2 linked regions of the Mus musculus genome follow. The protein of the gene in region 1 purifies or fractionates together with the protein of each later gene. This does not show direct contact. Links are inferred from orthologs where the notes say so. Each region holds a gene or a part of one and is shown in the gene's direction. Other genes may lie near its edges.

What was found. The genes of interacting proteins can lie anywhere in the genome.
Region 2: the proteins of Camkv (region 1) and Gpc4 purify together in Homo sapiens (affinity purification with mass spectrometry; 3 studies listed by BioGRID and IntAct, counting the BioPlex papers as one, with this or other methods). This does not show direct contact. The link is inferred for Mus musculus from reciprocal best matches to the Homo sapiens genes CAMKV and GPC4.

What each region holds. Positions count from the first base shown.
Region 1 is NC_000075.6:107,945,909-107,949,651, forward strand, and holds part of Camkv (caM kinase-like vesicle-associated protein), read left to right. Parts: intron 1-170; coding exon 171-309; intron 310-431; coding exon 432-552; intron 553-709; coding exon 710-785; intron 786-874; coding exon 875-1,011; intron 1,012-1,105; exon of another isoform or gene 1,106-1,173; coding exon 1,174-1,252; intron 1,253-1,471; coding exon 1,472-1,559; intron 1,560-1,835; coding exon 1,836-2,432; 3' UTR 2,433-3,743. UniProt on the Homo sapiens protein: Does not appear to have detectable kinase activity.
Region 2 is NC_000086.7:52,162,071-52,165,813, reverse strand, and holds the start of Gpc4 (glypican-4 precursor), read left to right. Parts: upstream 1-890; 5' UTR 891-1,038; coding exon 1,039-1,198; intron 1,199-3,743. UniProt on the Homo sapiens protein: Cell surface proteoglycan that bears heparan sulfate. May be involved in the development of kidney tubules and of the central nervous system.

The sequences.
Region 1 (3,743 bases):
CTTTTCTTTTTCCTCCCTTTATAGCTAAAGAAACCCACTTTTGAAACCCTTTGGGTCCCAAGGCCCTGGGCCCTGCCCAGCCAAGTGCCTGGTACAAATCAGGCCTCCCAAATGCTCCTGTCCTACCCCCGACCCTGCCCACGCCGGGCTCAGGGGCTGGTGTCCCTCAGGGCCACGGGGAGGGAGGTGTTTGACTGGATCCTGGACCAGGGCTACTACTCGGAGCGAGACACGAGCAACGTGGTGCGGCAGGTCTTGGAGGCTGTGGCCTACTTGCACTCGCTCAAGATTGTGCACAGGAACCTCAAGGTAAGGCCAGAGCCGGAGGGATGGGCTGGGGCTGGCATGAGTGCCACACTGGGCTCTGGTCCGGCTTCTGAGGCCCTCATGATGACTTCTGCCCACCCTTCCTACCATTCTCTCCCGAACAGCTGGAAAACCTAGTGTACTACAACAGGCTGAAGAACTCAAAGATTGTCATCAGCGACTTTCACCTGGCTAAGCTAGAGAATGGCCTTATCAAGGAGCCCTGTGGAACCCCGGAGTATCTGGGCAAGGAGGGATGGGACAGGGGATGGTCTGAGGGACAGCCTTCAGGGGGAGATTTTGGGGTAGGGAAGAAGCCTCTATTCCAAGAAATGGGTATAGATGCTGCTGTATATGGCCACACTTGAGTCTAACCAGCAGATAACCACTTTTTTTTTTTTAGCACCAGAAGTGGTAGGACGGCAACGGTACGGTCGCCCTGTAGACTGTTGGGCCATTGGCGTCATCATGTATATCCTGTGAGTGGCAGGGCACACAATTGGGCTTGCAGCCAGGTGGGCTGGACAATTACGTCTGTGGCCCTCCTAGGTGACCCTACTCCATGTAGGCTTTCAGGCAACCCGCCCTTCTACGAGGAGGTGGAAGAAGATGACTATGAGAACCACGATAAGAATCTCTTCCGCAAGATCCTGGCTGGTGACTATGAGTTTGACTCTCCGTACTGGGACGATATTTCTCAAGCAGGTGAGGGGATACCCGGCCTGTGGGCAGAGTATAGGGCTGCATGGTGGGAGGCACTGCTCTCAGCGTCTGCTGGATTACTACTCCTGCTCCCCAGCCCATCCTTCACAGCTAGACAATGAGATGGGGCACCCTTGCCTAGCCCATCCCTGGCTTTGTCCCCAGCCAAAGACCTGGTCACCAGGCTGATGGAGGTGGAGCAAGACCAGCGGATCACCGCAGAAGAGGCCATCTCCCACGAATGGTGAGCAGGGCCCCCTGGGAGGAGTGGGCGAGCCTCTGTTGCGCTTTGAATGTCTTACACCAGAAGTCCGCATCCTTGAGGTCTTGGCAAGGGAAGGCGTTCTAGAGCTCTGGCCAAACCAGACACTCTGCCTGGTGGCCCTCCATCACACCGGGAAGGGCTGTGCAGACTCCACGAGGCACAGACCATTCCCATCAGATGCACTTGCCTCCTTTCTAGGATTTCCGGCAACGCGGCTTCTGATAAGAACATCAAGGATGGCGTCTGTGCCCAGATTGAGAAGAACTTTGCCAGAGCCAAGTGGAAGGTAGGCTTTGGCTCGCATTCCCCTTGGCCCAGTTCCAAGTGCCTCTTCTTGCACCCCACAGTTCCTTGCTGCTACTGCACCTCTTCGGCTGAACACCAAGTTTTCTCAGGCTTCCACAGGCGGCTGCAGCTGCCGCGGTGATCAGGAGCTGAAGAAATGAGTAGCTGGATAGCCAGCGGCAGCTGGGGCACGACAGAAGGGGCTGGGCTTAGCCGTTTGGAAGGAGTGGATCTAGTGAAGCTCACCACGAACCTTTCTTCACTGTCCTCCTTGCAGAAGGCTGTCCGAGTGACCACTCTCATGAAGCGGCTCCGGGCACCAGAGCAGTCTGGAACAGCGGCGACCCAGTCTGCTTCAGACGCTGCCACTCCTGGGGCTGCTGGTGGGGCCATCGCTGCTGCAGCTGCAGCTGCAGCTGCAGGTGGAGCTGCCTCAGCCTCTGGGGCCAGTGCTACTGCAGCCACAGAGGGTGGTGCTGGGTGTGCTGCCAAGAGCGATGACATAGCCTCTGCAGATCGTAGTGCTACACCAGCCACAGATGGCAGCGCCACTCCAGCCACAGATGGCAGCGTCACCCCAGCCACGGATGGCAGCATCACCCCAGCCACTGACGGGAGTGTCACTCCAGCTACTGACAGAAGCGCTACACCAGCTACTGATGGCAGAGCCACACCAGCCACAGAAGAGAGCACAGTGCCCGCCACTCAAAGCAGTGCCCTGCCAGCTGCAAAGGCAGCAGCCACCCCTGAGCCGGCTGTGGCCCAGCCGGACAGCACAGCCCTAGAGGGTGCCACAGGCCAGGCTCCACCCTCTAGTAAAGGAGAAGAGGCTACTGGATGTGCCCAGGAGTCTCAGAGGGTGGAGACGAGCTGAATGGGCAGCCTGTTGGGGGGTTTTGAGGGATGGGAAGGAGGGTGGGAGTTTGGATGAGGGGCTTCTCACTGTATATAGAGTCACTGGCATGATGCCCTAGCTCCCCCCAAGCTCCCTCATCCCAGTGGGGCATGCCTGGGGGCCATGGGAGAGCAGTCTTGTCTCCTGTGTGGATGTATGTGAGTGGCGGGCAGGCCAGAGGCAGGGCCAGCCCCAGCCCCTGCATGGATTCCTTGTGGCTTTCTGTCTTTCGCTAGCTTCACCAGTTTCTGTTCCTTGTGGGATGCTGCTCTAGGGATACTCAGGGGGTCCTTGCTCTCCTTCCCTCCCTGCCTCATCACTCCCCCAGGCAGGCCCTGCAAACCTCATCCTTTCCCAGGCCCTAAATGGGTGGCCTTGCCCTGAGAGCTGGTCCTCCAGCGAGGCCCTGTCAGCAGTGTTAGGCTCCTGCACGGGAAGGTGTGTACCTGTGGTGTTTGGGCTGCTCTAGGAGTGTGCAAGAGAGGATGCAGAAAACCTAGGGCAGTGTGCTTTAAGTCAAGTCTGGTCACGTGGTAGGGAGCAGGCATTGCATGTTAGCTGTGGGGATCCTCAGAAGTGGGAGAGAGAATGGGTAGAAGCTTCCATCTTTTTTCCCTGGGTGGGGGTGGCGATCTTCCCTCTTGAAGATCCTTGTGTTATTTCATAGCCTCCTGAGTCCTGTAGCGGGTTGCTCTGTATCCCGATTCTTAGGAGACTCTAAAGGAAGAGAGAAACATGTCGGACACAGCAGCGACGCCTAGGAGAACAGAGTACAGTGCCCCAGCCTATCTGGCTCCTTCCTGTGAGCTGGATAGGGAGGGCTGGTGTCCCCCCATCCCCCCATCGTCTTCCTAGATGCCATTACCAAGAAAGAGACCTTTGCCATAGCCACCTCATGCAGGCTCAGGCAGTAAATCCTATTCCTCCCAGGGAGGCGTGGCAGCACCTCATAGGCTGCGTTGGGAGCATGCTTTTCACAGCAGCAGATTTTCTGCTCTTAGTGCAGCGATATGGGGAGGCTTTTCCTCTTTGTCTACCATCAGAGGCTGAGGTATTGCTCAGCCATGTGAAGTAGCTCTGGCTGGGATGAGGAAGTAGACTACAGTTCCCCAGCTCCCTGAGGGATGCTCTCAGCAGGTGCCCTTGGTCAGACCCTACCACAGCCTGAACAGGCAGCCACGCTGGTCCTTGCCCTTGCTCGGCACTCCATGGTGGTCCTGCCCTTCTCCCTGCATGCCTGTGGGTCTGCTCTGGTATGTGAAGGTTGGTGGGCTAACTGTGTGCCTACTG
Region 2 (3,743 bases), on another chromosome or scaffold:
CTGGATGCTGGGTAGAAGCAGCGAGGCTGGTATTGGGGCTGGAGGGCTAAGTGCTGCTCAGGCCCATGGGGATAGCCTGTCAAGTGGCTGTGGAGAAAGGCTTGTGGCTCAGACAGGGGCTCAAGGCCCCAAGATCCAGATCACCAGGATCTCTTGAGACTTGGCCCCTTAAGCGGGAAGAAACTGCCCTTTCCTCTCTTGCTGGGGGGGGGGGCGGGGGGCAGGTTCCCCGCCTCTGAAGAGGAGGGCAGGAGGGAGGAGCCCAGCAGGGCGTGTCGCAAGAGGGAGCGCCGCGCGCCCCGTGCGGGCCCCCTAGGAAGTGGATTTGGCCCGCTCCAGATCCAACCCAGCTTCCAGGTTTTCTCCCGGCCCGGCCCTGCGTGCTCCCGCCTGTCTCGGGCTCGCCCCCCCCCTCATGCCCGCCCCCTCCCTCCCTTAGGGCCGCCCCGCTTGGCCAAGTTTGCGGAGCCTCGCTGTGCGAGCCGGGCCAGTCAATCAGCGGCAGAGCTGAGAAGGGCACAGCCGTGCGGCCGAGGGCAGTGAGCTGAGCCGGGCTGGGTGAGCGGAGCAGCGCCGGGTGGCTGAAGCCCCGCGCCAGCGATCGCCCGCCGACGCCGCCCACACTCTGCTCTTCTGCGACGCCTGCCACCTTCCCTTCCTTCCCTGAGCCCCTCCGCCCCTGGCTAGCTGGCCCGGGTTCTCTAGCCTTCGGAGTCCCGAGGTCACGGATCCTCTCCCTAGTCCCTTGGGTCCCGCGCCCATTCCACGCCTTTTTCCTCGTACCGCACCCCGGCTGGGCGCCTGGCACCGGGGACCGTTGCCTGACTCGAGGCCCAGCTCCACTTTTCGCCCGCGTCTCCTCCTCCTGCCCTCCTCCTCCTCCTCCTCCTCCTCCTTCACTACCAACTTCAACTCCCCGGTTCTCGCTCCGCTCGTGAGTGTTCACTCCGCGCCTCTCCGCCCGCTCCGCAGCGCTGCTTTCCATCGGGTCTCATTCTGTCCCCTAAAGGTGGGAGCGCGTCCGTCAGGGTCCGCACCATGGCACGCTTAGGCTTGCTCGCGCTCCTCTGCACCCTGGCCGCGCTCAGCGCCTCGCTGCTGGCTGCGGAGCTCAAGTCGAAAAGTTGCTCGGAAGTGCGACGTCTCTACGTGTCCAAAGGCTTCAACAAGAATGATGCCCCCCTCTATGAGATCAACGGTAGGTGGGAATCCTGCACTCTCCCCATTACCGAGCGGTGGGCACCCCGGGAAAAGGGGCGCCCCCCCCCACGCCGCATCAGGTAGCCGAGAGGGAGAAACGGGCAGGCAGGAGAGCCAGCCCCGGCTTTGAGCGGGCACCGCGAGTGGAGGGGCGCCGCCGGTTTATTCAGTGCCACCCAGGTCCTTTGCTGCTGCCCCCCACCCCAGCCCTCTCACTCCCGGGAAGCCACTAGGGACTCTGGCCCTCAACGTGCGTGGCTTGGGCTCTCTCGCCTTTTCCGGGTTGAATTCTTTACTGGGTTCCCCGCTTTGTTGTGTGGGTGACGACGAGGCCGAGTGGGGGCGGGGTGGGGAACCTCCTGGAGTTTGCAGATTCCTAGGGGCGCAAAACGTGAGACTTGAATGAGCCGCTCATTGACGGTCTCCTAAAATTCCTCTCCCCGCCGCCTCTCTTCCACCGCTGACACGGTTTAGTTTTTAGGAGCTGCAAGGGCTTTAGAAGTCACCTTTAAAAAGCGAACTCTTCTTACTCCTTCAAATCCCGACTTTTGGGAAGTCTCCAGCTTTCCGGAAGGTGTTGGATAAAACGGGTATTTCCCTTCCTTTTCTCTTTTCTCACCTCATTTTAAGGGTTAATTGCACTTTCAATTACAGACCTTTGAAAGGACTGATTACAGGAAACCTAAATCTCAGTTTGGAGATGGTTATGCAAATGAAGATGGCTTTGCCTCTGAAAAAGTTCACCGGATTTCAGCGCTGGGGGGGTTGCGGGGGGTTGTGTATGGTATTTGGGGGAAGTCCTCCTAGAGCGCTGGGGAGGCTGCATCAGGTATGCCCTCCCCTCCTGCTCCCGAGGTCTCCAGGCCCGCTGGTGGCAGTGCCTGGGCTAGTCCTCCTTCCCTGTTGTACTAGATTTTTGAAGCCGCCAACTGTTGCGCACAGCCCTGCGGGCTGGCGGCCGAAACGGCACAGGTAGCTTGTTCACCCTGGAGACTCTGAAGGAGCTACGAATCTAACTGGCTTTTGGCCAGCTTAACCTAACGGAGGCGTTAGAGATTCGAGCCCCGAAGGCCAAATCTCCATTCCGAACCATTCATGGAAGTGTGCAGAGTGCGCCTTTGCCTCGCTGTACTGGTTGCCCGGGTGGGGCAGGCAGGGGGCCAGCAGCCAGCAAAGGAAATACTGTAATTTTAACCAGGCGCTTCCAAAAGCTTTAGAAGACTTGGGGGTCATCTTTTGGAAGGCTATTAATAACCTCGGAGATTAAGTGTGGTCATCAATTACATATAAACTACAAAAGTAATTGAGGGAAGTGGCTGGGTACTTTCAGAGTGTAATCGGGCTCCATCTAGAAATAGAACTGAAGAAATTGTTGGTAGTAGCCCAGGCGTCCACTGCACCTTGGCAGTTGTCAAGTAACTCACAGGCTACTGATGAAAGGCTGTTTGCCCTTCAGCTGCCTGTCTTTTTGGGAACTCAAGTATGTCCTCCCAGACTCATGATTTTATTGGTTGTAGAGCTCTGAAAAGCCCCCTTTCTTTTCCCTCTTCCTCCTGCCCTGCCAGCAAAAGAGAATTGAACCGGCAGCCGCAGAAGCTTGGGAGCTCTGCAGGTCAGACCTGAGGTCTTTGTGCCCTGCACGGCTCGAGCCTGGGTGCTTCAGAGATGATTGGCGTGAAGGTTACAGTTGTCATTCCCACATTCTGAAGGGAGGCATGCAGCTATGCACTTAATGGGACAGTGACAAGTTTCCATGTGCCTGTACAAACAATATGTGCCTCTGAGATGGTCTAGAGGCATTTTGGCCGAGGGCTATGAAATCACCCTCCCCAGGTACTTCAGGTTTGTGGTGTGCAGTCTCTAGAGATGGCAGCATCCCCAGCCATCAGTCTGATGGACAAGGAATTTGGGAAGGTGATGGTCAGGGACGATGGGTGTTCCCTTTGATTGTCACGGGCACTGAAGATACCTGAGGTACATCTTTGTATAAATGTCTATCTGGACCCCCCAAAAAAGATAGGGAGTTATTAGTGCCCAGCAGCAGGAAATGGAAGCTAATGTGCTCACACCCAAAACATTTTATTCTTTTTGTCTTGTCCTTCATCTCCCTCCCAGGGCTGCTGCTTTTATTTCCCCCTTTCAGTGACCTACTGGACTGCATTCTCCTGAGGAACAAAGGAAGTGCCTTTTTAGCTGGAATCCTTGGAAGACCACCAAGGACTTTAGCTCATGCAGTGCAATTTCGCACCACTTTCAACAATAACAAAAATGCATGACTGAATGGCTCAAAAATGTGGAGTGTTAGAGGCATTCATTTGAGTCTAGGACACTGTCACAACACAGACAGACCCCAGTGAATACCTTTTGATGGCTGGTCTAGAAGCAGGGTAGTCTTTACCATCACCCTGGCCTCTCCAGGTGCTCGCATCAGCCTCACCTTTTGGGGACTATCCTTAAATCATTTTGACCATTTGGGGAGGCAGTTCTGGGGAAGTCAATGACTTGGCATGAGCCTAGATCTGATGAATTAGTTACCATGCACT